Linked DNA regions of Bombyx mori. The main gene of each other region encodes a partner of the protein of the gene in region 4 in a complex. Links are inferred from orthologs where the notes say so. Each region holds a gene or a part of one and is shown on either strand. Other genes may lie near its edges. The genes, in order: mediator of RNA polymerase II transcription subunit 21, mediator of RNA polymerase II transcription subunit 18, mediator of RNA polymerase II transcription subunit 31, mediator of RNA polymerase II transcription subunit 8, mediator of RNA polymerase II transcription subunit 7, cdk8 and cyclin-C.

Region 1 (4,602 bases), on a different chromosome or scaffold from region 4:
TATGCATAAAATTTGATAATAAATTGAGAATAGATCTATAATTTTAAGGTATTTGATAATAATTTTGGTACTATAGTGTGAAGCTTTGAAGTTTTCAAACAATTTATCTAAATTGTTTTAAAACATTTTTAATAACAATCACGAGGTTTTGTGTGTGTGTGTTTTTTTTTCTGTGCACAATTTAAAACCTCTGTCTTTGTAAATGTGGCCGCAAACGGGGGTTGCTAGCTGATAAAGATGGAAACCTAGATCCAAAGTAGAGTGAGAGAGTTAATGCGTAACATCGTTTGTCAGACAAGGATGGCGGTAGACAAACTTACCCTATTTAAAAATTAAAAACTAATGCGCATGCGTCGAGTGCTAGTTTATTCAACCAACTGCGCTCACTTTCTTACTTTACAAACGATAATTTAGTTAGGTACTCAAAAAAAAGTGGGAATTTTTATTTGCTATATTATTATGCTAATGAATTATATTCATATTGCTGTTATTAGTAAAGTTTTGTACTTAATTTATAAAAAAATTAGATGCTATGTTGGGTATGTACATACAGTACTCAAAAATCTAATTTAGCAATTTTCATTGTTGACTTCTAAGCAATTTAAATTCGATAACGGCGGATTTCTATCATAAAAATGTGATACCGCAAATGCTTAGTTATTTTTAAAGAGTGCAGGTTAGGCTGAAAGCTATCTAGTCTTTTATTGTTAATTCGTACGAGAATAGCGCGAAAGCGGTGATGGAAGTTTTTTTTCCTACCTATTCGGTAGCCTACACACACTGCGACGCAACTTCTTGATGAATTTTAGTTGTTACAAAAATGACGCGAGGATTTGATATTTACTTATTGCGCGACAGGAGGTGTTTGTTGATTGTAAAAAAAATGGCTTACACGAAACGAAAAGAAAAACGGAAAACTTTTACAAATTAGTAAAGTTCTGCCAATTTTACTATAGCACAGCTGCCTTAGATTGAATTAGACTAATAGTTGTAGTAGTCATTAAACAATAACATGTTTGAACACACAACCTCGTTATATCCGTAATGTGAATCCAGCTTATTGTTAATGTTGTTTCATTGAATAACTAAAATTTAAAAATAATCGTTTAAGGTCTGAAATGAAAGAGGTTCATTAATGGTTTTTTATTATACTTAAATACTCAATAATTGTGATGTTTTTCTAGTCGGTAATATTATGGTTACCTATTGTGTACACTGCTTACATTAAATAAAGGAAATTTTGAAATTCATTTCATTGCCTATAATTAAAGTTTTTTAATTTTTTTTATATGTAGATGGGTGGAAGAGCTCATAGTCCACCTGGTGTTAAGTGATACCGGAGCCCATAGATATCTATAACGTAAATACCGTCACCCACCTTGAGATATGAGTTCTAAGGTATACTTACAACGGCTGCCCCACCCTTCAAACCGAAACGTCAAGTGGTCCTGTTATTAGCAACATTACTATTTAGCTTATAATGTATATAACGGAGAAATGGTTTTCTAAATTTTAATACTGATGAGAATGATTGCAGTTCTAAATGTATTTTTTTATTGCCCTTGTAGGCAGACGAGCATACGGCCCACCTGATGGTAAGTGGTTACCATCGCCCATGGACTTCAGCAATGCCAGGGACAGCCAAGTCGCTGCCTACCGTTAAGTACTTTCCGCAAGCCTCGTTTGAAGAAGAATACGTCATAGCGCTCGGAAAACACCGTGGAGCGGAGCTCATTCCAAAGCCGTATGGTACGTGGCAAAAAAGATCTCTGGCTTAAAATGGCGTTACTATTCCAAATTAGGTACTGTTTTGCTGCACGCCAAAGTTAAACGATCGTAATATAATTGTTTCCTTACAGAACTTCAAGTTATTTGGATTTTAGATTAATGTCTCAAATGAATCAACTTTATTTCATTTCGCTCCATATGATCATTTTTCATGAAAGAGAATAGAATGTACATACAAAAGACTAGGATGTATGGTGTGTGATATCTTCGCCTTTCCACCTGGAAATATTGGAAATATTACTTAAAAACGTCATAACGTTCAACTTCAAATAACTTCATTCAAAAGGTAGTTTTACAAATTGATACTGTAGGTAGCTTAAAACCACCTTCCATAGAAAATATCCATATAAGGATTAAATTTTAACAGTGGTTAGTAGGATAAATATCTGAATTGAATAATGGCTGATCGCTTAACTCAGCTTCAAGATACCATAAACCAAGTACGTATGACAAAAATGAACATTTCGTTTTAATTGACATTAATACATTTCACATACGTTGTATTTATTTATTTGTAGCAAGCTGAGAATTTTTGTAACAGCATCGGAATTCTACAGCAGTTCTCGTTGCCTAGCAAGTTCCCAGGCTTCGAACGCGGTGGTTCTCAGACTCCTCAACAACCGCAGAGTCAAGAGGATTATGCGGTTTTATTCGCGGCTCTAATTTCTCGTTGTGCTAAGGACATTGACACGCTCATCGAGTCTTTGCCCAGTGAAGAGAGTTCAACTGAGCTGCAAGTGCAAAGCCTTCGGCGACTTGAGGCCGAGAACAAGGAGGCTGCTGAGCAACTTGAAGAGGTAAGGGCTGTCAACTCTCCGTGCCCAATACACGTGCAATTTATCTCAAAGGACACTAGCTTTCTTTTTTATCATAAATTGGGAATTATCATGTAACTAAACCATTAAAATAATGATTTTAAAGAAGTAATTATGCCATGCAGTTTGCTTTTGTATTGCCATTTGAATGTAAAATCAAATATTCCAAGAAAGTATTTGTATTACAGACATTGTATTTTGTCTATAGTCAACTTTTGTAATGTAAACAAGCACCAATATTTAAACATAAATTAGTACCTACTTAAGATAAAATTGACAGTAATAGCGATTTGGTTAAAGTTGTTTCCTTAACTTCATTTTGAGATGGCACACTGGAATTGTATCAGCGAATATTACTTTATTCAATTTTCAAAACCCATAGGGTGTTTACAGATTAATCTCATGTTTTAGATTGCCATGACTACAAAAACTTATAGTATTTGAAATATTGGAAGTAATCATATCGACGCTTGAAAGGCAAACGTGACTAAGCGACAATGCGTGAACTTCACAGTAGACTAATTTCAAGATGAAATACCTGAAAAAATTCTATTTTAACGAAACTAGCTGTAGGATTGAAATGATTTTAATAGACCTAGAAATATATTTTTTTTGGCATTGAATATGGTTATTGCCTATCATGTATAAAGCAGTTATTGTCGCTTAGTCACGTTTGCCTTTCAAGCGTCGATATGAAAATAATTACACATGACTTACTCTCTTTTCATTAGCGTTAATAATAATGTCAGACAATATTTAATAATTCTACAGGTAGTCCGTCAAGGAGAGATTCTTCTAGAGAAGATTCAGGGTGCTCTGAGTGATATTGCTCAGTGCCAGTTGGACATGCAGAATCCGGCTCTGATCCTCAACAAGGATGTGAAACCACAGTTATAGGGATGGGGTCTGGGGTTCTACCAACGGTAGTTTCCTCTACAAAAGGATACGTTAAAACAAGAATACACGGAAGTATTTTAGTATTATATGAATTTTAAAATTTTGTGTTTGAAATCTTAATGCTTAATGACGAAGATTTTTTTTTGTTGTTTGCAAATTTGTTACAGGGCTTTCATGCCGGTGAAAACTAAATTGTCTGAATGTCATATTTTTGAAACTATAATAAGAAAAACATTGGTATGACATATATCATTTTAAGTAATCATTTGTTATAATTGAATAGTTAAGTATACATGACTTGTTTATTCATTATTTTCTATTATTACGTAAGGCATACTTTAAGTCTGAAAGGGTAGGTACCGCCACTCTGCCTATACATACTGTAAAGCCGTTGTTTTCCAGTTTTGAAGCACAGGTTAGTTGTTGATGATGATTTTGAGATGAGTGGCGGCAATGACTGGGATCTCTGGGCTATGTTAATCTCTTAATATTAGATGAACTCGTTCATCTATATACATAAAATAAAATGAACACAAGGAAAAAGTAAAGGTGATTGTATTCAATGATGAACATGAGTTTTAATTAAATTAAAAAATATTTATGTTTTATGTTTAATTAATTTAATTAAGTTATTATGTTTAATTAAAGGTTTAATTTTTCTTTTTGTTGTACGCCCTGTATATGCTGGAATGGACTCGAATCTAAATATTAATATACTTTAGAGATTGGAAATAGAAAACTATAATCTTGAAATGAAAAAAAATCTATATGATTGAAAATAAATGTTGATAGCTAAGAGTGTTTTATTAAATCAAATGTTTTATTTGTATAAATTTCAATACTGATTCAATGGTAAAGAATAGTTTAATTTAGTAGAAGTAGTGTTCCTTCAGGTTTATATATGTATTAATGGTAGCTTATTTACATTTTAGCATCTCTGAAAGTGCACATGTGTGGGAAATTAGAACAAAGTTCCTATATGTGGCTTAACGGCTTCCTCCAAAAAGCGTCAGTAAATTCCCATCCTGTTACTGGGACGTTATTTCATTTTATCTCATCTCGTTTTACTTCTTTCCAATTAATTTCATATTAATACATTAAA
Region 2 (4,872 bases), on a different chromosome or scaffold from region 4:
CTTATAACATTCTTGTTGAACTTTAGAATAGTCATTTTTTATTGGCTTCATAAAATCTGATTACCTTGCCATATTTCAAACTTCTTGTATGCAATGAGAGCGAACCATCAGAAAATACATTCTGTACTTCAGCGCTTATCAAATCACCTTCCTGTAAATGTTTTCTCATCATCTGCTCATCCTCTTCTGAACGCCTTCTCTGGATTTAAAAAAATATATAAATAGTTATCATTAGATACAAGAAGATTGCTTTATATTATGGAAGTGTGCGTTAATTTACCAATTCTCCGCCAGGTAGATTTACTGAAGAAAGTTGAAGTATTGAATCAAGTCGTGAATTGGTATCAACTTTCCATCTTTTCTGTTGAACTTCCAATACTCTTCCGACTACCACATCGCCTATTTCTCCAACGTAACGACTCTTCAATGGGCGAATGCATATAAGTTTATTTACTTTTTGCATAACCCCAGCAACAGATGCTTTTAGGCAATCATCTTCTGCGTAAGTTCCGTGGCCTCTTAAAGTGCAAAATTATTAAATTTATAGTAATAATAATTCTTAACAATATTGTTTTCGCAAAAAATACCGACCTCATAAAATCTTGTATCCCAGTTATGACTTCGCCAGGAGTGTAAAAACGCGGCGGGTCATTATTTGAGGCAACCGAATGATTTACTCTTTCAGATGCGAGTTTTATAGATACATGACTGACCATTTCTAATGTTTTTTTAAGCTCCCTCTTTGCTAATTGTGAATTGTGTACAACGAACTCATAGACCTATAGTCGGATTTTTTATTAGACGAAGTCAACTGACGTTTACTGTGTTGTCAGGTTTTGATGAAATAAAAATAGTGTTGTGACAAAGTGAACGATTGAAAAAACTCCTGAATTAATGAAATTGCCTCGATTGTCTAGTGAATAGTTAGTGTGCCGAATTGCCGATATCGGGTACGGGGTTCGAATTTTAGGCGTGCTTTGTACAACCAATGAGTTTTCGACGAAATATTATGTTCCTATAGTATCTACCTGCACTGAATACCGAGTGTTTTAAACATTAAGAAAAACATTGCGAGGAAGCTTGTAAGACTGTCCTATTTCCAATACATCATATAGTTGAAATTATAGATGTATAAAATATAACAATTATAGGTATGTAATGAAAATAAAAAAAAGTAATTGTAGTTACATACTACTAGTAACATATATTGGAGCACTTTAATACAATTTTATTGTAAAATATAAATAATATTCTTTTATAGTTTGAAATTAATGATTAACTCTTCACACTCATTGTTCATTCATGTGATTGAACGAGAACTGAACAGATGATAAGGGATGAAATACAATCTCACTAAAATGACGGTTATTTACTGAGATTTTGGCCTTTTTGGACGATCCCGAGAAGTTACGTCCAGCGGCTTGGTTTCATTTTCCCACATTGGTGCACTTTCATAGATATTGAACAGTTAATAAACAACCGTTATTACAGGTTTAAACCTGAAGACACACTAAATAGACAAAATAAAACAAATCACACAATTTCACTCCTCGCATGTAGAATCATTGGTGACAAAAAATGTTTAAAAACAAATACGGCCGTACCAATATGATAATATGATGCGATACCATTGCCTCTCTCTCCTGTATTTGAAAAAGGAAATTACAAAATGTCACCTAAATGAGGCTAAATGTCAACATTGTTAGTAACTGTCAAGCTAACAGCGATTGCAAACATATCTCTACCTTGTTAAATTCCAATATGAGTATTTAGATTATGTTAATTAGAAATTAGAATTTATTTTCTCCTTTAAAATTGCCTAGTTTTTTATTTTACGCAATATTTATAGTTTCGGTTATATGGACTATTTAGACTGAATGCACCTCTATGAGACAGAAAAGTCGTTTATAAGTGTAATGATTTCTTGGCTCACACATAGTTCTTCAAAACTTAAATCTTTAAATAGCTGCTATTGAAGTAGGTTTTCAGATTTTCAGCTCCATAAAATGTCGGCAAACGCTGCACCTATAACAGCTACAGATAGCTTATCGCAAGCTTTAAAAGCGAACATTATACCAAATCAGGAATACTTACTTCAGGTACTACAGGATGTTGAAGTGGCTCAGCTATTTTAAATTTCAGAATAATTACAATATAGTCTACATTCTTCTACAGTTTCCATAAATTGCATACTTAACAGAACTAATTACCATAGTTGCAGCTATTGTATCCAATTCTTTTGACCCATTTGATCTGTTTACATACTACATTCAAAATATTATCAGAACCCATACATACATAGCTTACATATAATAGCAGCCCAAAAAAACATGAGATAAGGTCTTAGTTACAATGCCTACAATGCTGTTCTTAATAAATAAAAATAATTCATTTAATGATTTTCAATTTTACAGTATTTCATAGCTGGAAATTATGATAATTAGGCAACAGGCAGCAACTTTTCTCAAGATTCAGTCAAGTTTGTTAATTGTTGAATATTATACATTTAATTTTTGATTCCACTAAAATTTGATTAAGGGCTCAGTGTTGGACTCGGCAGTAGAAGTTTTACTTCACCGATTACGTGGTCTTTGTGACAATGTTGATGCTGGGCCAGAAACATTTGATGACCAGGAAGTGTGTTTCAGTCTACGGGATCCTAATCATCATCAGGTAATAATAATACTTAGAACTTTTTAAAATATTTCTGTTAATGTTATTATTATTTTAGGACACTAGAATATAAAATGGTTATAAAATTATAATACAATAAAACTTGTATTAAATTATAAATTGATTAAATTTTGCCTGGGCTGTCACCTGTTTGGTCAAGAAAAGTGCTAATGATTTGGTAATCACTATTAATACTGTACAATTCGTGAGCATAAAGACATGCCTGAATCTATATATTTTTCTTTCATGTTCTAATAGTTCATCTTTAATAAATTTAAATTTCAGGCTCCCCCTCTCATGTTGCGTGTTCGTAAAGCATTAGATGCTCGAGACATGCCATTTCAGTTACGATACATTGGGCAGCCTGATTTGGGGGACAAAAATAGGCCAACAGTTGTCCGTTCCAGTCTTGATATAGCCTGCAGTGGAATGCTCATTGAATTTTTAAATGAGCTAGGATGCCGAATTGAATTTGAATACAGTGTAAAAGGTAATAATATTTATTATAATGACAATTATGAGTAATATGATTGTACATGTATTTGATAGTATATTCTAAATCATCACTATTACTATACCACTATTGTTAATAATGACGAATCAAAGAAGACCAATAGTCAAAAATACTAATTCAATTTAAAGTATTACCTAGATTTGGGATTTAATTAAATTGCATATAATTTTCAGTGGTTCATTTAAAATCAATCAATTACGGTAATTTTATAAAAAACATTAAGCTTTTTCTAATTCTAAATTTCAGGTTACATGTTTAGAAAAGGTCGTATGAAAATTACTGTAGCAAAAGTGTTTAAGATTTCTCAAAATTCAATGCCACCTGAACCTATCTCACAGAGCTATCTTGTGGAGCTTTCTGTAAGTTTTTGACACCCAATTAAATAATTTGTCAAATTTCCCAAACAATACCGCTTTCTGGTTTTGCTTGAGTATGATGATTATATATGATCTTTAAGTACCGTAGATTGGGGAAAATGGGGACCCTTTCCAATTCCAAAACAAATTTTCAATGCTTTTATTCTTAGGGTAATACCAATAAAATTGAGATTAAAATGGCTCCGAAGGTTTAAATTTTTAAATACGATTCATTATTTTATATAGTTCATATAGTCACAAAATATACACAAAACCTTAAAAAACTTGCTTGACCCGATTCTCTTTGAATGAGGCTATTTCTCTCATTGACTTGTCCTTCTTCAAACGAGGCTTGTGGAGAGTATACAACGGTAGGCAGCGGCTTGGCTCTGCCCCTGGCATTGCTGAAGTCCATGGGCGACGATAACCACTCAGCATCAGGTGGGCCGTATGCTCGTCTGCCTACAAGGGCAATAAAAAAAATACGCTATGTATGGGGACAACAGAGTTTTTCGATAAGGCTGGCACTATTTAGTTCTTAGGTAGGTACCTAACTTTAGGTAATTAATTTTTTATATCTTTAATGAGATACAAAGTTTTGATATCTGAATTAAACTATATAATATTCTTAAACACTAAATAATAGTCATCTTCAGTGCAACAAAGTTATATCTAACAACCCAACAAGAGTATTGTGACATCCCAGATTTGTCCCTATTCTAACTCTAGTCTCTATTCTCCCCAATCTACTGTAAATAAACTAAAAATAAGGAAGAGATTTTTAATTTGCTGGCTTGGTTTTGATGTAAACAGCTTGGTTTTTTCAAGCTATAAAAACATAAGTAACCTAACCTACAGGTTTCCATGAATAAGTAAGGCTCAATAATAAGCTTCAATTGTTTTTTTTTCTTCTTATTTGTACGTATTAAGTAGATTTTATATAATTAATGTATGTAGTTGATGTTTGTAGAGCAATGTGGATTTATTTTATTTCATGTATGTTATGTGATGTGTAGTGTATTTCAGTTGTTGAAGACTTTTACCCTTCTTTAATATCTTTGGTTCCCTTAGGTTTGTTAGAACAAAAGACTAATTAATACATTAAACTCACCATTGGACATTCTTTTACAAGTCTTATTTTAGTATCATTTTCTGTGTACCTATAATATATAAGAATAAGATGATAGACTAACTTTTATTTGCTGATAGTGAGTCCTGAGTCCTATAAGGATTGTGCGCCCAAAATGTTATATAAACTCTGCTACTTAAACAATTTTGGGGATGCTTAAACGACAAAGGGAAGATCTTCCACCGAGCGGATGATATTGC
Region 3 (4,745 bases), on a different chromosome or scaffold from region 4:
GTCTGGGACATAACAGCCTTCCAGTTCATTTGCACAAACTTGGTATCGTAACTAGTACCGCCTGTGAGTGTGGCGAGAGTTATTGTGACCTGAATCATATTTTCTTTTCTTGTTCTTTATATGATCATTCTTCCTTATATACTTCTTTAGTATCTCTCTCTGTTCCCCTTCCTACTAATATTTCTTTACTTCTTCGAGATTTTAATCCCCTTGTATATAGTATTTTAAGTAGGTTTATATTAAATAATAACATTAAACTATAATTTTGATTTATTTTCCCTGTTATATAATTATTCTGATTTTTTTTGTAAATTCAATTCGTTCTAAATCATTTATGTTTTGTTGCGATAAGTTTCCTTCGTTTTTTATTATTTATAAACTGTAAATAAATAAAACGGCGAATTATAAAAACGTTATTACTTGACGCTGGCTAATGCACAAAACGTGCCAGAGCCAAAAATAAAGAAGAAGAAGAAGAACTGCGTTTATACCATAGAGTTACTACTTATTAACTCCATGGTTTATACATATATTAAGTGTATAATCTATGGTTTATACTGTCTAATTATTTCATAAGTGGATCAAAAAAATATTGAAAACTTCAACAATAATTCAACAAAAAAATGTCGGTGAAGAGTGAAGACGGTCAATTAGTCGTTAAAGTACAATTAGCGTGGTTTTCAGTTCAGTTATTTTTAATGATACTATTCATTACCATGCAATAGGAGATAGTTAAGATACTTGTATTTTATAATAAAATTAATAATTCCTAAATTCATACTTAGTTCAAAAAATGTAAATATAATGCACACAAAATCTGTTTTTGTTGAAATGATAATTATTTATAAGTTCAAGAAATATATTGCAGGGACATTTAGTAGAAATTCATTTAATATAGAAGAATAAACTTAGTATATATACTTATACTCTATAAACAGGATTTTTTAAGAATAATTATATCTATTTGATATATATAATAATATTATAATAATGATATTAAGTATAAATGAAGCTGATTAATACGAAACATGGCATGAAATGAAATGAGATGAGATGATATGGAATGAAATATAATTTCAGTAAAATGGTGGTTATTTATTGAGACTTTTTCTGTGGACTTGTTGGAGGATCCCGAGAAGTTATGTTCAGCGGCTATATTTTATTTTCCCACATTTGTGCACTTTTACAGATATTAAACAGTTAATAAACCAGCTCTATTAAACATTTAAACCAGATTTTTTTTAAGGGATGTTATGACCTGTTAACTAAGACCTTTAAGTTATATTTTATTTTAATTTATATTCTTATTTTTATGAAAAATTATAATATGGAGTGAAATGAAATGAAGATGATTAATTTGAGAAATTAATCAACTGGGATGAAATTAAATGGAATGAGATAATATGGGATGAAATATAATCTCAGTAAAATGGTGATCATTTACTGTGGTTTGTTCAGTGGACTTTTTGGAGGAACCCATTTAAACTTGAAGAAACATTAAATAGACAAAATAAAACAAATCACACAACTTCACTCATCGCGTTCCCGCCAAAAAGTTTAGGTATAGTACCTTTAGGCCAAATATTAAGCCTAAGTAGGATGATGATCATAGTCATAGACTAACTTAATGTGTAGTGTAGTATTGCTCGTATATATTAAGTGTATAATCTATGTATATTAAGTGTATAATCTATGTAGTATTGTGTAGTTGTGTTACGTTGTGTAGGACTCGGAAAAAAATATATACACAAATTTATTTATGTGATTTAATTAATTTAAAAATTTTAAGAGCTTACTAAGTACTGTGTAACATTTTAGTAATGATAAAATCTTAAATATCACATATTTATATAAGGATAAAATGAACTGTCTTGTGTAACCTGAAAATATGTTATTATTTTGGTCATAGATTTGTTGAGACGTACACCACTGACCAACTTGTTTAATTTTGAATAATTTAAATACTCCAGCTGCATATATTTCGGGTTCAAAATGATGGCTGGAAAAGGTAAGAAAGAATGAAATAATTTTATTTAACAGTTTGTTATTTCATGATAAATTAATAATCTTTAATTTAATTGCAGTAATGCCAGAAACTGAAGAGCAGAATCGAATAAGATTTCAAGTGGAACTTGAATTTGTGCAGTGCTTAGCAAATCCAAATTACATTCACTGTAAGTTGCCTTTTTGGTTTTTGTTGTTAGACTTCACACTCACCTGGTATACAATGATTACTAGAGTACATAGACATCATAATGTAAATGTTGCCACTTGAACTTATGCAGGCTAATGCTGCTCACTGCATACATACACTTATGGAAACTTATAATGATAACTTAATGTGATGACTGATCTGAAGCTATCAAGTTGGTCATCAAATCATCACAAGAGGGAAATAAGTAATAAATTGTTAGGTATTTTTCATACCGGTTTAATGATTTTGTTATTGTGACTTAGTTTCTAATCGTCTATTTTGTGATTAAATGTTTTTCTGCCCAGTGTTTTTAAATGTTATGTGTAATGGATGTCAATTATGTCAACTCTGTCTATTTACAGTTTTGGCACAGCGAGGTTATCTTAAAGAACAAACTTTTGTAAACTATCTTAAATATTTGCAATATTGGAGAGAGCCAGAATATGCTAGATATTTGAAGTATCCCATGTGTTTGCATTTTTTGGAGTTATTACAACATGAAGCATTTAGAAGAGAATGTGTATCGGCACAAGTGAGTACAAATTGCACCTACTAAATTATTTTCCATATAATCTTTGCTTGAGCGGTAGATAATGCCATAGGTTTTAAGTCCGCTGATAAACATTCTTCTTCTTCTTCTCTGTCGTTTCCTCATTGCTGAGGGTCGTGACCACCTTGGTCCAGTTTTTGAAGTAGTGTTTATATGAAGGTTTGTTGTGGCCTGAAGGCTTATCGCTCAGGCTGACCTGACGCATTCATATCAAGCGATACAAAGGTGTTCAGATCCTGCAGGCAGGTTCCAATTATTATAATGAGATACATACTAAACAAATGTTCACTATTGACTTCCACAGTTAAGGAATAACACCATCTAGTAAAAGAATCAAACTTGCGAAATTATAATTTGTGTAGTTACTGGTTGTAGGATGTCTTGTGAGTCCGCAGGGGTAGGTACCTCTACCCTGCCTATTTCTACAGTGAAGTAGTAATGTGTTTCGGTTTGATGGGTGGGGCAGCCATTGTATTTTTTTTTGTTTAGGCATTTACTTTGTACATGTCTATGGGCTCAGGTAACAACTTAACACTACTTGGCCTTTTTTTTTTCTGATATAGTTTTATGATTTATAGGTTTCACAGTATGATGTTTATGGGCTTAAAACCAAAACAGAGCTTGACTTACAAATCAACAGTAAAAAAAATATGCAAATGAAATTGAGCTAGTTTGAATGTAAGAATATAAATTTGGTAATTGTTAATGACCACGTACAAGTTACTGCAAAAGTCATATTATTATAATTTATTGGCTTTTATTTACCACCTCATTAGTAGCTGTGCTTTATTCTTGTACTCTACCAAATATAAAATTTATGACTGTGCCAAACTGGCCCTTGACCAAATACCGCTTTTAATTTTATCCGATAGCAGTATAATTTGTATGTATTACAATTTTTAAATAAAGCCTGTGTTTAGATCACTCTGATGGATAGGTACTGTTCAAAATATCTTCATTAATGAATGATTAATATTTTCCTTAAGGTTTGCAAATTCATGGACGATCAAGCAATATTGCTATGGCAACATTATACTCGTCGGCGTACACGCACGTTACAACCGCCGGACGCACCGGCGCTTCCTGCGCCGCCCGCACCGCCACAACAAGGTCCACCAAGACAACAAACTTAGGATGTTCATGATTGTTGTTTTAGAAGTGAGTGGAAAATAAAATAAACTTTTTATAAATCTATACTTAATAAATAAATCTACAGTGGTTTTTATGGATGTTCCGTTATAACTACTGAACCATGCATCCGATTGACTTGAACTTGTTATCCATGTAGAAAATACATGTACATAATGGATAGGCTAATTATATGAGTGTTGGACTCCCTACACCAGTTGCGGGGGCGTTAATGATGTGAATCTTTGTGGGGGTGAGAAATAATAATGTTAATTTTAAATGCCCAGTGAAGCGGACGGGTACAGATAGTAGTGTATAATAATGTTAAAAAAATATTGGGCATGTCCTCTAGTAGGATGTCCCACCGGGGGACAAAGATCTCCCTCTAAATTATCTAAATGGGTGTTAATGAAACCTCTTTGTTATGTTATAAAAATAATTTGGCTGATATTAAAATATTTGTTCTGTGTAGTAGTAAAATATACGTAGTCTTACTCATAAAAAATATATTTAATTACTTGAAATGGGCACTGAACGTTTTTCAAAACGAATTTTATTTGATTGAACATAAACAAATCCTTTGTATAATAACCGGCAAACTTCTTGAGCATTTGTTGACGTAGTGGGGGTAAGTTTGCGCATGGTACACTCACGTGCAAAAACATTACTTACTCTGCGTCATAATGCTATTAAATTATTAAAATGAACATATGTATTTATTTATATATTTATTAGAACATTAACAAAACATATAGGTTAATAATTGTAATAATTTAATCTTGGGGTAAAATAGATATTCCTTCTATTAAGTCAAAACTAGAGCTGTTGCCAGGTCTTGGTTCAGTTGAAGCGAAGCTGGTATTTGTAATTTTT
Region 4 (4,674 bases):
CAAACCGTTTGCAGTAGGAGCACACTGGACGCTGTTTCTTCGTGGTCACGAATTGCTCTGCAGAACCTGGCACAGCAGCGGCAGGCGTGGCAACGGTAGGCTGGGCGACAGCGACAGGCACAGCGGTGGCGGGCACGACGGCCGCGGCGGAGTTTGGAAAGCGCGCGCGCGGCGCCGGGGCACTCGCACGAGCGGCGCACGGTTCAGGCCGACTCGCAGCCTGGGCCGGCTGGGCACGGATCGAACGCACACCACTAGTGGACGACACTGGTCTCGATTGAGTCTCCTCTATCGAATCTTCTATATTCCGAGCATGGTTTAATAATGAATTGAAAGATGTGATTTCTTCACGGCGCAATCTTGTGCGTATTCTATTATGAAGCAACCCGTATATCATATCAAGTTGTACTTTTTCAGCAATATCATCCCGCGGTAGCTTTGCCATAAGCGCACGAATACGAGCAACAAACTTGTCTGTGTTTTCTTTATCCTGCGGGGAAACAAATATTTCCAAATATATTCTATGTGGTGGAAGGCGGGTGCCATATGCATATATTAAATTTTCTTTGGCTTCGTTCCAAGTGGAGATGTGATGCTTTAATCCTAGCCACCACGTAGCTGCGTCAGCAGACAAAAGCATGGCTAGGCCTCGTATGATGTTAGCGTCAGATACTTGAACGCATTCTGTATAACTTTCAATTGCATCTATAAAGGCCTCAACAGATTCACCAGGTGCACCGCTGAAAGAAGCTCTGCAACGCGCCAAGGTACCATCTACGTTCACTGGGGGCATCGGCGGAGGTGCCGGAGTCGACGATCTTTGTTCCATCACGTACGACATAATGTTCTTAAATGTTTCGGCCTGCGAACGTTGCAGCGAGGCCATCAACGCTGAAACATCATCCAAGTTGAACGTAGAATTGTTGCTACGTGATTCGGCGTGGGGGCGATCATGGGGGCTATCATGCTCCTCGTGATTTTCGTTGGCATTTGCATCTGCAGCAGGAATAACGTCGTCTTCGCGACGTTGCTGGCGATCTTGACTTCTAGTTAAAGGCATTCTTTACAATTAAGCACCAACAGCATACAATAGTTAGCAAATTTTTCACAAAAGCGTGCGCGCCATTTTGTTAGTCCAAGCAAGAAAAAAATTAGGAAACGTTGGGCAGCCAGATATAGTGAGGGGTAGATCTCAGGGGTATTTAAAACTATGGGTTAGTCACCAATATCGAATTTCGAATTTTAATCTTCCTTTATAACAAACAATTTTCAATTTTTAAACAATAATTACATTTAGACGCGGGCGCACGCTATTCACACTCAAAACGGAAGCGCCCGGAACATAGATTATACACTGTTACAAGATTGACATAGATACTAACTATGTATAGCGAGCGGGCATACGGCCGCGAGAGTGACGTACCGGTCGGTTTGCTACATATTTAATATTTGTTCAGAGTGGGGGTATTCATCTGATTAATCCATGGAATAACCGACACACCTAATCTCTTAATCCAGATAGAAATATCAGCACTGTCGATTGCACCTATAATTGAGGTGATGTCTGCCATGTACTTTTGTCAGTTTTTCAATTTTTTTTATTGATGATCACTTTGTTGGTGCAACTAAATAAATAAATAAATTAAAACTATATATAAAAATAAAAGTAGTGCCAACCCTAGCAAATTTCTCGTTTCGTCCCAATTAACCGCAATTTTCGGGTAAATAGGGATTACACCTATTTTTGCATTTTTTGCTTAAACTGGAATGCTAGTTGCATAATTTTAAATTAGACAACAAAGATGCCCCCAAGACTCAATCATTTTGATCCTGATTTAGCATTATATACATCAACAACTACCTTAAAATTGCTCATAAAGTTGGAATTTGTCCCTAATCGCCCCATTTTACGGTACGGTAGGTACCGTATGGTACCATTTTGAGATATATTACTTATGTACCCTTAGTCCCTTACGGTTATTTAATAGCTAGGTAAGGTACGGTACCTAAACCTTATTAAAATCTAACAAAGAGAATTAAAAAGTTACAATTGTGTACCTACCATTTACAACAATGAATATGCAGCAGCGAGAAGAAAAGCAACTAGAAGCTACAATAGTTGCGATTTTAAATAGAGTAAATGATTTAAAAACTGCAATACAAGCATTGATAAATAAACTAGAAACGGAATACGAGACAATAAATTGGCCAACTTTTCTAGATAATTACGCGATTTTATCTGGTCACGTAAGTCCAATTGTATATTGAAATTCATAGCATAAATAGTGTGTGTAATAGTCAACAAGTCTACAGAGATGGATTTCAACTTGAAGTAGGAAAGATAATTAATTTATTATTGAAAAAACAGTGAAACAAAAACTGACGAGTTCAAAACTCACTTGATGTAACCTGGTTAGCGTGGTCACTGATATTTATTAGGTATTATCCCATTTTGAGACTTGTTTTCAGATTTAAGTGCATTTGTACATAAGCTTTTCACTTTAAAGATCATGTGTTATTTAGTTAAATTTTATTAACTCTTTATTTTCAGCTGACTGGCCTCAGTAAAATTCTCCAAGCCGAACAAGCAGCTTCATTGCGGTCTAGAATTGTTTTACCACTTCAATTAAGTTGCGAACGTGATGAAACACTGGCTCATTTGACAGAAGGCAGAGTTCCAGCTTGCACTCATGATTTAGTTCCAGATTTACTTCGTACCAAACCTGAACCCCAGGCTGAACAGCGTCTCCAGCAATTTAATCATAAAGCTAGTACTTTAAGCTATGATACAGCACAGGTATAGACAATAATTAACATTTAATTTTAAATATCAGAAACATTTAAAGAAGCATAAGGTTTAATGTACCACAAGGAAAAATATCCATTATAACTATTTGGGCTAATTTTTTATGACATTCTTTGTAGACTTCGCAATCTAAATTAGTTTTCATTGTAAACGGTAAAAAAATAGATATATTTGGGGTTAAAACATGTAATGCACTGTTGAGTGAATAAACCCACAGCTCACTTGAGATATAGTGGCTGGGACCCATAGATATCACAGAGTTAAATCAACCTCTTGCTTTGAGATATTTGGTTGAAGTATGTATCAATTCTTTCTTTTTTTTGTTGTATCACTTGTCAGGGTGGTCATGGTCATCATTCAGTATCATTGCAATCATATCATCATTGAATTCTATTAAACTATGTATAATAAGTTCTTTTATATAATCAAGATTTGTCTGCAAAATTAGCATGATAATCAAGTTGAGTACTTAAGACATGCAATTATAACAAGCTCACTTTCTCATGTAATGTTGTGTAGTTGTTACCTACAATTATATAGATGGATGATGTATGGATTATAATAGTTTTATATTCCAGAAACACATTGCTCAATTCACTAAAGTTGTCAGTCACGTTTGGGAAATTATATCCAAAGGCCGCGAAGACTGGGAAGGAGAGTCAATGAGATCTACAGGTTAGTAAAAGTTACAATAGAAAATTATCATAATTACCTAAACAGTTGACAGATTTTAATAAACATTTCATTCATATTATGTAGTCCATTTTTAACTTCTAGAGGTTGAAAAAAGATGCGGGTCACTGTAGTGAAAAACAATTTGTCTTCAATAAAATTTAGACACACATGCTTATCTTATTTCACCTGACCCAAAACACATGCCCGAAGTCTCAGTTGTATGGCAGGCAGGCATCTTATAATTCAAACTGGCATGCCTGTTTTCTTCATAACAAAAATACTTATACACGTCAGTGACTCAGGATACACTCAGCTACTCACAGTTCTAGACCCCAGTCATTGGTGAATATCTACAGAAAAGACAGGTGGGATTATTCTGACCATTGTACACATATCCTAAGTTATTAGTTCATATAAGGTAGGTATGACTTTACTTTGACAAAGATGAAAGATGCCCACCAGAGATGCCCAAGATTTTGCCCACCACTTAAACAAGTATGATGATAATGCAATTTCACAATACAAGCAGTGCGATTATGGAATTCTCTCCCTCAACCTATTTGTGCTAGTTCCTCTCTAGAAGTTTCTAAGAGTCAAATGAAGAAACATTTCCTGTCACTTTAAAAAAGTGTATTTAAGTTATTGTTTTATGTATGTTTATATGTATTTTTCATTTCATATTAGTTTTTTTTTAAAGCTTAGTTTAAAAATCATGCTTTAATAGATTTTGTATTGTACACTATTCCCCTCTTTATACATTGTATTTCTCTCTGCTAATGGTTTGCTGGAAGAAAACTCATGAATGAGTTAAGCTCGCCTTTGTGCATAGTATTTAGACATTCTTTAAATCTGTTTTTATTGTATTTTCTTTTTGTGTACAATAAGTATAAATAAATAAAATAAATAAATAAGTATGATGATAAGTTTTTTCATTGAAAAATGTGTACTGACTTAGGAGAACTGAATCACACCATAGTAGAACAGCTAGAGACAGTTAACTGGATGTTTATGTTTTAATATATATATTTTATGTTTTATTTTTCAGTTTAAGGAAGTTTTTTTTTTTATTGTTTAGATGGGTGGATGAGCTCACAGCCCACCTAGTGTCAAGTGGTTACTGGAGCCCATAGACATCCACAACGTAAATGCGCCACCCACCTTGAGATATAAGTTCTAAGGTCTCAAATATAGTT
Region 5 (4,606 bases), on a different chromosome or scaffold from region 4:
GTAGTTGTTCGTCATGATAACTTCGTCCATAATTGCAAAGATAAAACCTTCAGTTTCCCCAAAGAGGTTACTGAATCGTAACCAGGCCACGGAAGCTAATTGGTCTACATCAGGCCCTGTGAGAGCCCGGTAGAACCTACCGTGTAACTCCTTGCTCCTCCATACGGTTATGCGATCTAAAATACTCTTATTATTATTATTATTATTTGGTATCTAAACATACCTATCTCACACCATGTTTATTTAATGAAAAATTAAATGGAACTAATTATGAAAAGAAATTTAACTTGGATTAAAACTGAAGAATTTTTTTATAAATTATATAAAATATACAGATCAAATAAAATAATTCATAAAACTTACATCCCGAATTCCTGCCAAAGGTCTGCTAAATTAGATATTTTATTTCATTTTTCATTTTTTATTTGGGTTATACAATTACGTATGAAATGTAAATAAAACTACTTTTATTGTCTTTAGCGAATAATTGAATTTTTTCAAGTCTTAATAGTTGGCGCTACTGCAAAACATGCTGTCTGTGGCGGGTAGCCATCATACAACGCAAGATGATTGACGGATGCCTGAATCTCGCTTACGACATTTTCAAGATAAGGCAGAGCTCGAAACTTAGGCATCCGCCACAGAAAGCATGCTTTGCAGTAGGGCCAACTATTACTGTAGATATACGATAAAGGGAAGATCTTCCACCGAGCGGGTGATAATTGCTCTGTAGACCGACGGTCCGAATGTTGTTGTTCGGAACTTGTATATAAGCAAGCTGATCTTGAAAATGTCGTAAGCGAGATTCAGGCATCCGTCAATCATCTTGCGTTGTATGATGGCTACCCGCCACACTGTCAAACTGCAGTTTCGTGTATCCACTTAATCGCAATCGCGATGTGCCTTTTAATTTTTTTTATTTTTTATTGCTGAGATGTGTGGACGAGCTCACAGCCCACCTGGTGTTAAGTGGTTACTGGAGCCCATAGACATCTATAACGTAAATGCGCCACACACCTAAAATATTGTCCTCTGTATGAGAGCCTACTGCTATAATCCAATTGATCCAGCTCAATCCAGACACCAGAATCTTGCAAAGTTATAATACACTTAACAGATCTTAGTTACTCATTGATTTTCTTGTGTGATACATTTTATGAAACCATTTTAAATGATTTTATAGACACACCCCACCCCTAAGTTTGTTGCCAATCTTTCCTGTAACATCCTTAATAGTTAATTGTCTCCACGACTTGCGAAAGCTAAAGGAACAAAGCCCATAAAACATCTTTTTTATTTTATTTATAAAAGCCAAATTGTTTACATGAAATTTCTTTTTGGTTATAAAACATCAAAAATCTTTCGACAAAAATCAGTTCGGGATTTTTTTTTTCTAAAGGTTCATTGAACACTCAGTACATTCTCAGAATTTTAGCGAAAAATTACTTCACTTCATTTTGTCCACACTTACGGTGTTGTCATAAACTCACCTCTAAATTGAAGTTCATTTAACTTTCACAACACCTTCGACCTTGGTGGCAAAAATTGGAATATATGAGCTATGTTCCCTTTGCTTATCCATAAGGCCAATCAAACAAAAAAAGCATACTAAAGCATAGATTAAACACTTATTTTTTAGAAAGCATAGACAAAGCTCATAATAATTCATACATTTCATACTGTAGTGTGTAAAGTTGTTTTAAAATAAATTTCTTCAATTTAACACAATATTTAAGAGTATGTAAATCTTTTTTTGTAAATATAGGCATATTCCGTTTTTATTAAGTGTTTGCTAGAATCGTACGTACGGATTCCCGGTTCACAATGTCAGAGACAGCTCAAGTTAGCTCTTTACCTCTGCCTCCAATGCAATATATAAATTTTTACACGGATGAAAATGTTAGAAGAAATAGAGCTCCTCTACCACCTCGACCTATTCATGATTCTTATTCAATGTTTGGTAATTCTTTTAACGCTGATGATGCTATTATACGTTCGTTAGAAAGCCAGGTAAGTCCTAAAACAACTAGTTTACAAACACAAATGTTTATGTAAATAATTCGTTGTAAAAAATTCCTTCAGGGATTTCGAAGATTGTATCCTATGCATTTTGAACGAAGAAGAGAATTGAAGAAACTTAACCATTCACTGCTGGCAAATTTTCTGGATTTGTTGGATTTGCTTGTTCATTGTCCAGATTCTCCAAAGAGAGCAGAAAAAGTAGAAGACCTAAGTTTGTTATTTATTCATATACATCATCTTCTAAATGAATTTAGGCCACACCAAGCAAGAGAAACATTGAGAGTAATGATGGAATTGCAGAAAAGACAGAGGGTTGAAACTGCAGCAAGGTACTATTAATAGCGTTAATTTGTCATATGTTGGTGTTTCTACTATATCTATACTGGACACCAAGGAACCATTCTAGAAAATAAAGATAGATCTCAGATCACAAATGACAAAATAAAAAAGATGCCAACATAAATATTTAAGTTATGTTTTTGCCACACACATGATATAACCATTAAGTGTGTGACTTATCCTTTATTATTTTAGGCTTTAACATTATAATATGATCTTTAATTGGGTGGTAATGTGAAAGTCTGATTTAAATTTCACTGGTTGGATTTTCACTGGTTGGAAACATTAGGTGCCACTAGTGATTAGACATTTTTATCTGTTACCACAGTACCTTCATGATTGAGATTCCCAGACATTTTGCCCATCAATGTTATGTTAATTTATTTATAATTAGTAGAACCTGAATAAATTTATTGTGTTTAATCTTACCATAGGCTGTTAAACACAAAGTCATATTAAGTTCTCCCAATGTTTGATATTGAAGCAGAATAATGAAAATCAGATTTGTAATGAGTTTAATTTTTTTTTATTTTTATTGCTTAGGTGGGTGGATGAGCTCACAGCCCACCTGGTGTTAAGTGGTTACTGGAGCCCATAGACATCTACAAAGCAAATGCGCCACACACCCTGAGTTATAGTTCTAAGGTGTCTCAGTATAGTCACAACGGCTTCCCCACCCTTCAGACCGAAACGCATTACTGCTTCACGGCAGAAATAGGCGGGGTGGTGGTACCCACCCGTGCGGACTCACAAGAGGTCCTACCACCACCAGTAAAAAACCTTAAACTTGTCTCAATAAAAAAATTTTAGTATTCATAATGTCATATCATCTTTTTCAAACCAAAATCTGCCCTCTGCACTTTTTAGAGATTTCCAAATTTGAACTGTTTTGAGTAATATACAAAAATATTTTAATATAAAAAAAAAGAAATTAGCAGATATTGTTTACTGATACTACGAGGGCGGCACTGAAAATTTCGGGAATTAACGAAGTGACGAAGTTACTATTTAAAAATGTATTTATTGCTTATCGAAGTATTCTCCGCGAAATTTGACACATTTTTCCATACGATGGAACCAATCATTGAAGCAACCATTCCATTCGGAAGTTGGGGTCTCCAAAATGGCCGTTTTGTAGGCGTCTACAGCTTCTTCAGGTGATGAAAATCTCTGTCCACGCAATTTATTCTTTATTTTAGGGAAAGTATAGAAATCATTAGGGCTTAGGTCGGGGCTGTACGGCGGATGGTCTAATAATTCTATGTTTTCTTGCTCTAAAAACTCTTTTGTTCTGTGCGCGGTGTGAGAACTCGCATTGTCGTGATGGAGGATGATGCGGCGGTTGCAGTTCTCTTTACGGAGTTCAGAAACGACCTGTGGCAAACAAATGCTAGCATACCATTCTGCATTAACCGTTCTTTGTCCCTCAAGAGGAATAGTCGTAACATGGCCGGTTTTGGAGACAAACGTGGCCACCATTTTTTTTGCAACACTCCGTGAACGAACAATTTTTGTTGGCTTTAACTCATTTTCGAACACCCAAACTCGTGACTGGTTTTTTGTTTCGGGTTCGTACGCGTATATCCAGGATTCGTCACCTGATACAATGTTGTATACAGCATTTGAGGATCCTGCGTGGAATCTTTCGAGAGTTCTGACGCACCAAGTAACGCGAGCCGCTTTTTGCTCTTCACAGAGCGAATGCGGTATCCATCGGGAAAACAACTTTTTTACACCTAATTGTTCATGCAAGATTATTTGTATTTGACTCATGCCAATGTCTAAAGTTGCCTGAATTTCGCGGTATGTCACATGTCGATCTTCCTCAATCAGCTTACGCACAGCATCAACGTTTTCTTGGGTGACTGCAGTTTTTGGACGACCTTGAAGGGAATCATCACTGAGCTTGACACGTCCACGTTGAAACTCAGCAAACCAGCGATAAATTGTGGTTTTGGATGGGGCTTCATCACCAAATACAGAAATCATCCGGTCAACACACTGTTTTTGTGTTAAACCACTTCGAAAGTCATAATAAATCATCGCTCTTGAATTTTCTCGAGTCAATTCCATTTTCTCAACGACTAAACAAGTTTGACAAAACCTCGTGACAAGACCGAGAATCTTTTTTAAAATAAATAAATGGTATTCGATTTTTAAAACCAAGGAGTTTTCAATTAAAAAGATTTTAATATGACAGGAACAGTAGAAATATTCCATTCCCGATACTTTTAGTGCAGCCTAG
Region 6 (3,317 bases), on a different chromosome or scaffold from region 4:
TGCAGTAGGCCAAGGCGGCACTCAATTATTTTGAGCTCATGAAGTATAGACTCATTGGTGCAAAATATTATATGTGTATTGTAATGTTAAAATGTTGTTCTTTCACGTCAATACAAACCAATGGATTGACATGATTTTTTTTAAAGTGAAAGTATTCATACTGATACTTTTCCTGGACGAAATGTGTAGAGCCACGGTTTAAAACCAAGTCAAAAGAGATGTAAAAAAAAAAGTAATTTAAGAAAATCTCATTTATTTGCAGATATTTGGGCCATAGGATGTATATTCGCAGAACTATTAACATCTGAACCTATTTTCCATTGTCGCCAAGAAGACATTAAAACAAGCAATCCATATCATCATGATCAACTAGATAGAATATTTAATGTTATGGGATTTCCACTTGAAAAAGATTGGGAAGATATAAGGAAAATGCCAGAACATGCAACACTAGTTAAGGATTTCAAGAGATCAAAGTAAATTGAAAAACAAATATTTTGAGGATGCATTGGTCTAAAATGAAATTAAATTTAATATGTTCATATTCATTACAGCTACCAGAACTGCTCACTCAGCAAATATATGGACAGGCATAAGATTAAGCCAGATAGTAAAGCTTTTAGTTTATTACAAAGACTTTTACTGATGGATCCTAACAAAAGAATCACTTCAGAACAGGCTATGCAGGATCCATACTTTGCTGAAGACCCACTGCCTACTCAAGTATGATATTATAATGTTTTTGAATTCTTAATGATCTGAATGGATAGATGAGCAACCTGAAGTCAGGAATATTAGACCCTATAAATGCACAATTTTAATCCCACCCACCTTGTAACAAGTTAAATTTCCAACTGTACTATAAATGCTATCCCATCTTGATTATAGTAGGTATCTACTGGTAAGGGCTCACAAAATTGCCCTCTATGGTAAAAACCAACCATTAAATATTTTGATTTCATTATGTAATGATGACATTCATTTATTTGGTAAATATTTGTGAACCTGTGCAAGAAACGAAATATGTATTAATAATATTGTACAGGAACTAGTGGTAATAATATATTGTACTAGGTCACCATAATATATTTATTTAACAGTGAATGATTTAATTTCTTTCGGTTAATAGGATGTGTTCGCCGGATGTACAATTCCATATCCGAAAAGAGAATTTTTGACTGATGACGATCAGGAAGACAAGAGTGATTCAAAAGCCAGACAAAATCAACAGCAACAACAACCAAATGTAACGATTTTGACATATGTTATATCCATGTATTCTAACTAGTTTGTTAGCGAATTATACATAATTTATTGGCTTAATCCTTATGCTGTGTTCATGCTAATATCTGTGGTCATTTGAGGGATTTGCACGGGAATGCATTTTTACTTAACTGTAGAAATAAGCAGGGCATTGGTGATACCTGTGATGCGATCTGACAAGAAGGGTATCAATCAGTAATATATAAATAATATTTTTGGGCGTTTGATTTTACGCAATATAGTCGCCGTTGAAGTCATTCAATTCATGAGCATGTGTTAATATGTATTCCAAGCCCGTAGAAAAAATGTTACTTGCTTCCAGGATTTAAGCAACATAGTCATATCACTTCATACATGTACACGGAACGTCTTAAACTTTATTTCTCAACAAGCCATGCTTCAAACTTTACACATTCATTGTACAATTGTGTAAATTGTAAACGTGATGAATAATGAGGTATATTGATACCATTTACTAAATTTTATTGTTATTTTTAATTTATTTCAGACCCAACAGAATCAAGTTCAACAGAACAGCCACGATCATGGTGCCAATAATGCCAAAAGGATGAGAATGACGGGTAAAATAACACAAGTTTTAATACAAATTTATAAGTATAAATTTATTTTTTGCTGCATTTTCATGTAGTGCCAACTGATTCTGAACAATAAAATTCCTAGCCCTTTAGAAAGTTACTTTAAAAACTATTTATGTGCCTAGTAAATGACATATAACCAGACAGGGAGTTAGCTTGTCTACACAATAGAGTGTTAACCACGAGCAATTAACAACAGTAGGATTTAGTAATCACGGGCAATAAATAAAATAGAGCAAGGTGTTATCAGACACTTAGTTATATATTTTTTTTCAGGTCCGAACCAAGGCAACAACACTGGTGGTGGCCAGCAGGAATTCCATCAACAGCAACAAATGATGTTCGGTAGTCAGCAGCAGGGAGGAAGCTCCCAACAACAAGGGAACTACCAACAAAGATTCTAATACAATATACCTGAGTCTACGTACTCGGGTGGACTGAATTTAGAACCATATGAATAAAAACGTGCTAATTATAAATTGGTTGATGAGATATTGACTCAAAATCTCTCAGACAGTGCGAATGTGATGTGTCGCCGTACGGTTTCTTTTTTTAAAACTATAGAATTAATGATCCGTCAAACAAAACTAGTGGTATTTCGTGAAATGCGTTTCAGTTAATGTACTCTGTATTTTTGGTGGACCTGTTCCAAATAAACGAAGGAAAAATCTCATGTTGATAGTCATTGTGACAAACACGTGAGAGACATTGGGTGCTATGTTGTAAAAAACTGTTGTAAATCCTATAATACAAAAAGATACTTATTGAAATTGAATATTACTATCAGCAATGTGTTTGAAGTGGCTAATAGATTTGATTACTATCACAAAGCAGTTCACCATTCCGGCTTGAAAAGTAGAAAAGATCTTATAGCACAATAGAATGATATGGTACTGTGACATCTAATGATCTTTGCCTCAAGGCTCATTGTGATGCCCATTGTTTCCAGTAGTTATTTGGTGACAGTTGGGCTATGAGCAAATACGTGCTCATAAGTTATAACAAGACTTTTTGGCGGGAACGCGAGGAGTGAAGTTGTGTGATTTGTTTTCTTTTGTTTATTTAGTGTTTCTTCAGTTTTTAATGTGTAATAACGGTGGTTTGTTAACTGTTTAGTATCTGTGAAAGTGCACAAATGTGGGAAAATGAGACAAAGCCGCCGAAAGTAACTTCTCGGGATCCTCCAAAAAGTCCACTGAAAAAGTCAGTAAATGACCATCTATTTTCATCCCATATCATCTCATCTCATTTCATTTAATTTCATGTCAGTTGATTAATTTGGGTTTCCTTCGTTTTTTATTATTCATAAACTGTAAATAAATTATTAAAACGGCGAATTATAAAAATCTTATTACTTGACGCTGGCTAATGCACAAACCGTGCCGGAGCCAAAAAATAAAGAAGCTATAACAATAAAGTACATAATCATTTCGTGTATTAATCGAACTCGCAATTAAT
Region 7 (4,780 bases), on a different chromosome or scaffold from region 4:
CTTATAGTAATCTTAGACATGATTACAATAGTTATACTTTTATTCTTTATCTAAATTATTTCTATTCTGACGTTTCTGATGCTTTAGCTTTGGTAATACTAGATGAAACAAACAGCAGATTGAAAGAAAATCATCTTAAAGTTAATTACATTCATTACAAACCATTAGTTTGCATTTTGTTACAAAAGAAACTGATGTTCGTTACATGCAAATGAATTATAAACATACACATGCAAACATAAAATGTAAATTTATCTTTTAATCCAAATTAAATGTACATTAATATTACATCTAAATAATAGAAAGGGTCTCGAAAATTTTTATTGCACTCAACAGCAGACGAGCACACAACCCGGCTCATGATAAGTGGTCACCAGTGCTTATAAACTTCAGCAGTGCCATAGGGGTTGCTGTCTATCACTTAAGTTTTAATAAATTATTAATATACTCAGTCACAAGCATATTGATTTCACATAATGAAAATGTAAGAAACATAATCATGTTTGGGCATTTTCATTTATATCTGCTCATACAGAAAACACAACTTAGCAAATATATTCCACAGTTAATCTAAATAATTGCAAATAATGCTTTTGAAGATCGTTGACTTTTGATCATTAATTAAAATCATCTTCTCGTAGAATTTACAAAAGCTCATTTACAAAAATTTATATCAGTATTTTCATATATTACTAACTTACTAATTACAACTATTCAAAACGTAATAGTATAACTATAAGAACTAAACAACCTATTTTAAAACAAAATTGGCATCAATTTAGTTCTTATGAACTATTTCAATTATTAATTTATAAATTATAAACATATTTAAAAAAAATTAAGATCCCTTGTGAGTTCACATTCCTTGCTGAATCAGTTTCTCTTCTGAAACGGAGAAACAAAGTATCTTAAGTATGTAACAAATATTGAAAAAATACGACCATGAAAAATTTAGTGTTAATGTAATCATACTTACAAATTAATATATTACATAACACGTTCTGGTTCAAATATAGTGCATCAATCTTTTCATGTTTCAGACATTTTAGTGCTCCTTATAATTTTTCCATAAAATTTTGTCATTATCAAACCTTTGTCTACAAAAATAAAAACATTATTTTATATTGGGTAGAAGGATGAACGTGGTCACAGGCCACTTGGTGTAACTTGGTTATCAAACACCAGGAAACAAAATGTGAATGCCATCATTTAACTTTGGATGTGAGATCAATTGTGCTGTATTTTATTTAAACAGGAAAGCATGACTATCAATCAGTCATGCTTTCCTGTTTATTCCATTCCAAAAAACTAGTTCGGGCCCACTTGACAATAAGCATATAATACGCTGAGTTGCAAAACATAAATACTTCCACCCACTCGAGACAATTTTATTATCTGAGGTGTGTGTGTGATAGTACGAGACTTAACACCGACTGTTTTGATCAAACTTAACATATATGATAGCTAGGCAGCAGAAATAGGAAGGACCATTAGTTGGTGCTAATTCATTTAATTATATTATGAATAATAATTCTGTTAGCAAATAATATACCGGGAAAATAGTGTAAACTCACCGTTATCAAGGCATCCGAAATAGCATTTCATTTTCGATCTTCGAGGCATGCTGATTTTTAATAATAAACTTTCTGTAAGAAACGAAAATAGTTACACAGGCTTACGAAACGCTAACGAAGAAAAAAGTATTGGAACCAAGTTATGTCTAAAGAGAATTCAAAACAGAGTTTCTCAATGTCTAATCGTCTAATATTCTCATAAAGCTAAAAGATGCTCTAAATTAATACTACAACGTAAAATAACTCACACCAAGACAAAAAAAAAACGATTTAAAAAATTAAATCGTTACGACATTTTGAAAACGTTTTTTTTTTTTTTTGAGATTGTTTTACGGCCCTGGAATTTTGAAAACTTCAAAGCAGTGTTTCCACTTACGTTTTTTTAAACACATTTTACCCTAGTTTCTTTTGAATTTATCCCTAAAATTTCCTAGACAACTTTCATAAATCCTTTATATAGAAAGTATAAATAAAATACAGAAAATAAACCACAGCATATTATTTAATGTAGGTATATATAATATAAACGCCCCCAGAAGATCATAGATATATAGGATTAGAATTTTCAAGGAAGTCGACGCATTGCTTTTATATTCTTTTGCTGCACGCAACCTAACACTGTTCGGTTCTAAAATTGAGCAATTGTTTGCTGGCAAAGTTGGGAACTTTCTATGAAGCAAGCCGTTCAGGGTTTCATTAGAAAGCCTGTTTCTTTTGTCAGTTTTTACATTTGAGAACACTGAATTATCTTTCCACCTCAGTCTTTGAAGAAGGAACTGCTAGCAAAAGTGAAATGACAATTACAAGGTTTTCGTAAATGAAATTACCATGATAATCTTTCATGGTACATGAAGTACCTGTATATTACAATACAAGTAAGTTCTGGTGACATCAACGAAAATAGGTAAATAAAAGTTTGGCGGATTATACTTATTGGGATTCTGGGGAATCCCTAAGAAAAAAGCAGTGGCTTAATCTATAATTTACTTTACTAGAGGGTTACTGTTGAATCAAACCTTCTTTATAGTTTTTATACACAACTCTGTTTTATTCTTTTACTTGTCAACTCGACTTAATGTCATTCTCTCTCCATAAAATAAAATGTTCATTGTTTTACTTTAATTATCGTTTATTTTAAAATTCACAACAGTTACTAGTATAGGCTTTGCTTTTTACCCCGAACTATCCTAAATCCTGGTATTTTTTAAATTGTCTTTATCATCCAAAATATCAGCTATTTTTCCCTAAAAAAGGGAGAATTCCCTAAAAGTGGAAGCACTGCTTCAAAGTACGCTAACCTTTTTTATTGAGTCAGAACTCGTACCTGCCATCTAGTGAGTTTATTAGATCATTAAGGCCAAAACGTTTCAAAAATGACCTCGCCGGTTCCTAAAGATGACGCTAGTTGAATGTTCTTTTCCTTTGTATGGGAGTTGCACCCCCCTGGTTATGCATACATATTACTAAAATACACAGTTTCAAAAGTTTCATAGAATAGGAATGGATGGAAAAATGTTAAATTTGTAAAAAAAGTATGTTTTTTTGATAAATCAAAATTTACCAAATTTTAATAATTATTGTGTTTTGCCTTTGAAGAAATGGCTGGAAATTTTTGGCAAAGCTCACATCATCAACAATGGATACTCGATAAGCAAGAGCTAAGGCGCGATCGCCAGTTTGATTTGAATATTTTATCAGAAGAAGAATACCAAAAAGTATTTAATTTTTTTGCTAGTATAATTCAAGTTTTAGGCGAACAACTTAAACTTCGTCAGCAAGTAATCGCAACTGCAACAGTTTACTTTAAAAGATTTTATGCAAGGAACTCTTTGAAGTGTATTGATCCACTTCTTTTGGCACCAACATGCGTATTTCTTGCATCTAAAGTTGAAGAATTTGGTGTTATATCCAATTCCAGATTAATAACAACCTGCCAGACAGTTATAAAAAATAAGTTTAGTTATGCTTATGGACAACAAGAGTTCCCGTACAGGACAAATCACATTCTGGAGTGTGAATTTTATTTACTAGAAAATTTAGATTGTTGTTTAATTGTATACCAACCATATAGACCATTACTACTTTTTGTCCAAGACATAGGACAAGATGATCAACTTCTGACATACGCTTGGAGAATAGTAAACGATTCCTTGAGAACAGATGTTAGTTTGTTGTACCCACCCTATCAGGTATGATTTATGTAATGCAAATAGTCACATTTCATTTTTTATTCATAAAACTTTTCATTGCCATTATATTTTGAATTACAGATTGCAATTGGTGCCTTACAAATAGCATGTGTGATGCTTGGTAAAGACAATCTCAAACCTTGGTTTGCTGAGCTAAATGTTGACATGGATAAAGTGAGAAATATACTTGAATATATATTAAAATTAAAAAAAATATGGTTATTGTGTGGTTGTATTACAAAACTTCTGAAACTACTCATTTAAAAATTCAAATTTACAGATCCAAGAAATTGTGAGAGCTATCATTAACCTTTATGAGATGTGGAAAAGTTATGATGAAAAAAAAGAAATACAAGGGCTATTGTCCAAGATGCCCAAACCAAAGCCAGCTCCCCAGAGATAGCAAGACATATTTTGTAGTATGGATTTGTATAATGGATATATAATTTTTAATTGTAGACATGAAAAATTTGTTTTTAATTCCCTAGGAAAAGAAATTACTATTTTTGATGAGGTCACTTATATTTCAAGTGATTTTTATGAATTTTTTCAACCATAAACAAATACAGTGTAGAGCACACTTTAGAGCATAAATTAAAAGAACAAGAACTAAGTTATTTAATTTTCCATCACAAGCCAAAGATACTCTCTTTATTGGTTGTTATGTGATTTAAGACTATTGTATCCTATTGTAGCCTTTAGACACAAAAGTAAATTATTCCTTTATTTCAAGTTTAATGTTTAAATAATGTCATTGTATTGCTATGCTGCCCAATAACATTGTTCATATAAGTAAACTGACAAAGATAAGTAAGATGACAAAAGCTAAAGAAAAAAGGCAATTCTAATGAATTTAGTCTTATCTGTCTGCATGTTTTTGAGCATTGATACTTCATTCATTAACTGTGTTGCATTTGTTCACATTTTACAACATTTGTCAACATTAACAATTTTGAACATTGAAAATGAGGTGGATCCTTTAAATAGATATATATGTATAAATTACTATTGGTTACA

Evidence for each region.
Region 1: mediator of RNA polymerase II transcription subunit 8 (region 4) and mediator of RNA polymerase II transcription subunit 21 share a complex: the UniProt entries of both Caenorhabditis elegans proteins name them as parts of the mediator complex. The link is inferred for Bombyx mori from reciprocal best matches to the Caenorhabditis elegans genes mdt-8 and mdt-21.
Region 2: mediator of RNA polymerase II transcription subunit 8 (region 4) and mediator of RNA polymerase II transcription subunit 18 share a complex: the UniProt entries of both Caenorhabditis elegans proteins name them as parts of the mediator complex. The link is inferred for Bombyx mori from reciprocal best matches to the Caenorhabditis elegans genes mdt-8 and mdt-18.
Region 3: mediator of RNA polymerase II transcription subunit 8 (region 4) and mediator of RNA polymerase II transcription subunit 31 share a complex: the UniProt entries of both Caenorhabditis elegans proteins name them as parts of the mediator complex. The link is inferred for Bombyx mori from reciprocal best matches to the Caenorhabditis elegans genes mdt-8 and mdt-31.
Region 5: mediator of RNA polymerase II transcription subunit 8 (region 4) and mediator of RNA polymerase II transcription subunit 7 share a complex: the UniProt entries of both Caenorhabditis elegans proteins name them as parts of the mediator complex. The link is inferred for Bombyx mori from reciprocal best matches to the Caenorhabditis elegans genes mdt-8 and let-49.
Region 6: mediator of RNA polymerase II transcription subunit 8 (region 4) and cdk8 share a complex: the UniProt entries of both Caenorhabditis elegans proteins name them as parts of the mediator complex. The link is inferred for Bombyx mori from reciprocal best matches to the Caenorhabditis elegans genes mdt-8 and cdk-8.
Region 7: mediator of RNA polymerase II transcription subunit 8 (region 4) and cyclin-C share a complex: the UniProt entries of both Caenorhabditis elegans proteins name them as parts of the mediator complex. The link is inferred for Bombyx mori from reciprocal best matches to the Caenorhabditis elegans genes mdt-8 and cic-1.

What each region holds. Positions count from the first base shown.
Region 1 is NC_085122.1:11,557,217-11,561,818, reverse strand, and holds mediator of RNA polymerase II transcription subunit 21, read left to right. Parts: upstream 1-1,297; 5' UTR 1,298-2,186; coding exon 2,187-2,228; intron 2,229-2,306; coding exon 2,307-2,585; intron 2,586-3,374; coding exon 3,375-3,500; 3' UTR 3,501-4,296; downstream 4,297-4,602. UniProt on the Caenorhabditis elegans protein: Component of the Mediator complex, a coactivator involved in the regulated transcription of nearly all RNA polymerase II-dependent genes.
Region 2 is NC_085121.1:5,596,338-5,601,209, reverse strand, and holds the start of mediator of RNA polymerase II transcription subunit 18, read left to right. Parts: upstream 1-1,687; 5' UTR 1,688-2,006; coding exon 2,007-2,099; intron 2,100-2,538; coding exon 2,539-2,673; intron 2,674-2,958; coding exon 2,959-3,163; intron 3,164-3,433; coding exon 3,434-3,546; intron 3,547-4,872. Other genes in the region: exosome complex component RRP4, read right to left, coding at 65-199, 281-518, 592-716. UniProt on the Caenorhabditis elegans protein: Component of the Mediator complex, a coactivator involved in the regulated transcription of nearly all RNA polymerase II-dependent genes.
Region 3 is NC_085122.1:5,746,229-5,750,973, reverse strand, and holds the start of mediator of RNA polymerase II transcription subunit 31, read left to right. Parts: upstream 1-1,681; 5' UTR 1,682-1,992; coding exon 1,993-2,008; intron 2,009-2,084; coding exon 2,085-2,174; intron 2,175-2,556; coding exon 2,557-2,726; intron 2,727-3,730; coding exon 3,731-3,877; 3' UTR 3,878-3,902; exon of another isoform or gene 3,903-4,745. UniProt on the Caenorhabditis elegans protein: Component of the Mediator complex, a coactivator involved in the regulated transcription of nearly all RNA polymerase II-dependent genes.
Region 4 is NC_085118.1:10,645,755-10,650,428, reverse strand, and holds the start of mediator of RNA polymerase II transcription subunit 8, read left to right. Parts: upstream 1-1,372; 5' UTR 1,373-2,073; coding exon 2,074-2,247; intron 2,248-2,551; coding exon 2,552-2,797; intron 2,798-3,384; coding exon 3,385-3,481; intron 3,482-4,674. Other genes in the region: uncharacterized protein LOC134199859, read right to left, coding at 1-1,060. UniProt on the Caenorhabditis elegans protein: Component of the Mediator complex, a coactivator involved in the regulated transcription of nearly all RNA polymerase II-dependent genes.
Region 5 is NC_085119.1:10,080,655-10,085,260, forward strand, and holds the start of mediator of RNA polymerase II transcription subunit 7, read left to right. Parts: upstream 1-1,624; 5' UTR 1,625-1,824; coding exon 1,825-2,010; intron 2,011-2,082; coding exon 2,083-2,351; intron 2,352-4,606. UniProt on the Caenorhabditis elegans protein: Component of the Mediator complex, a coactivator involved in the regulated transcription of nearly all RNA polymerase II-dependent genes.
Region 6 is NC_085129.1:10,516,951-10,520,267, forward strand, and holds the end of cdk8 (cyclin dependent kinase 8), read left to right. Parts: intron 1-262; coding exon 263-476; intron 477-554; coding exon 555-723; intron 724-1,129; coding exon 1,130-1,246; intron 1,247-1,771; coding exon 1,772-1,844; intron 1,845-2,135; coding exon 2,136-2,263; 3' UTR 2,264-2,583; downstream 2,584-3,317. UniProt on the Caenorhabditis elegans protein: Component of the Mediator complex, a coactivator involved in regulated gene transcription of nearly all RNA polymerase II-dependent genes.
Region 7 is NC_085121.1:11,204,830-11,209,609, forward strand, and holds the start of cyclin-C, read left to right. Parts: upstream 1-1,884; 5' UTR 1,885-3,172; coding exon 3,173-3,763; intron 3,764-3,844; coding exon 3,845-3,937; intron 3,938-4,043; coding exon 4,044-4,166; 3' UTR 4,167-4,780. UniProt on the Caenorhabditis elegans protein: Component of the Mediator complex, a coactivator involved in regulated gene transcription of nearly all RNA polymerase II-dependent genes.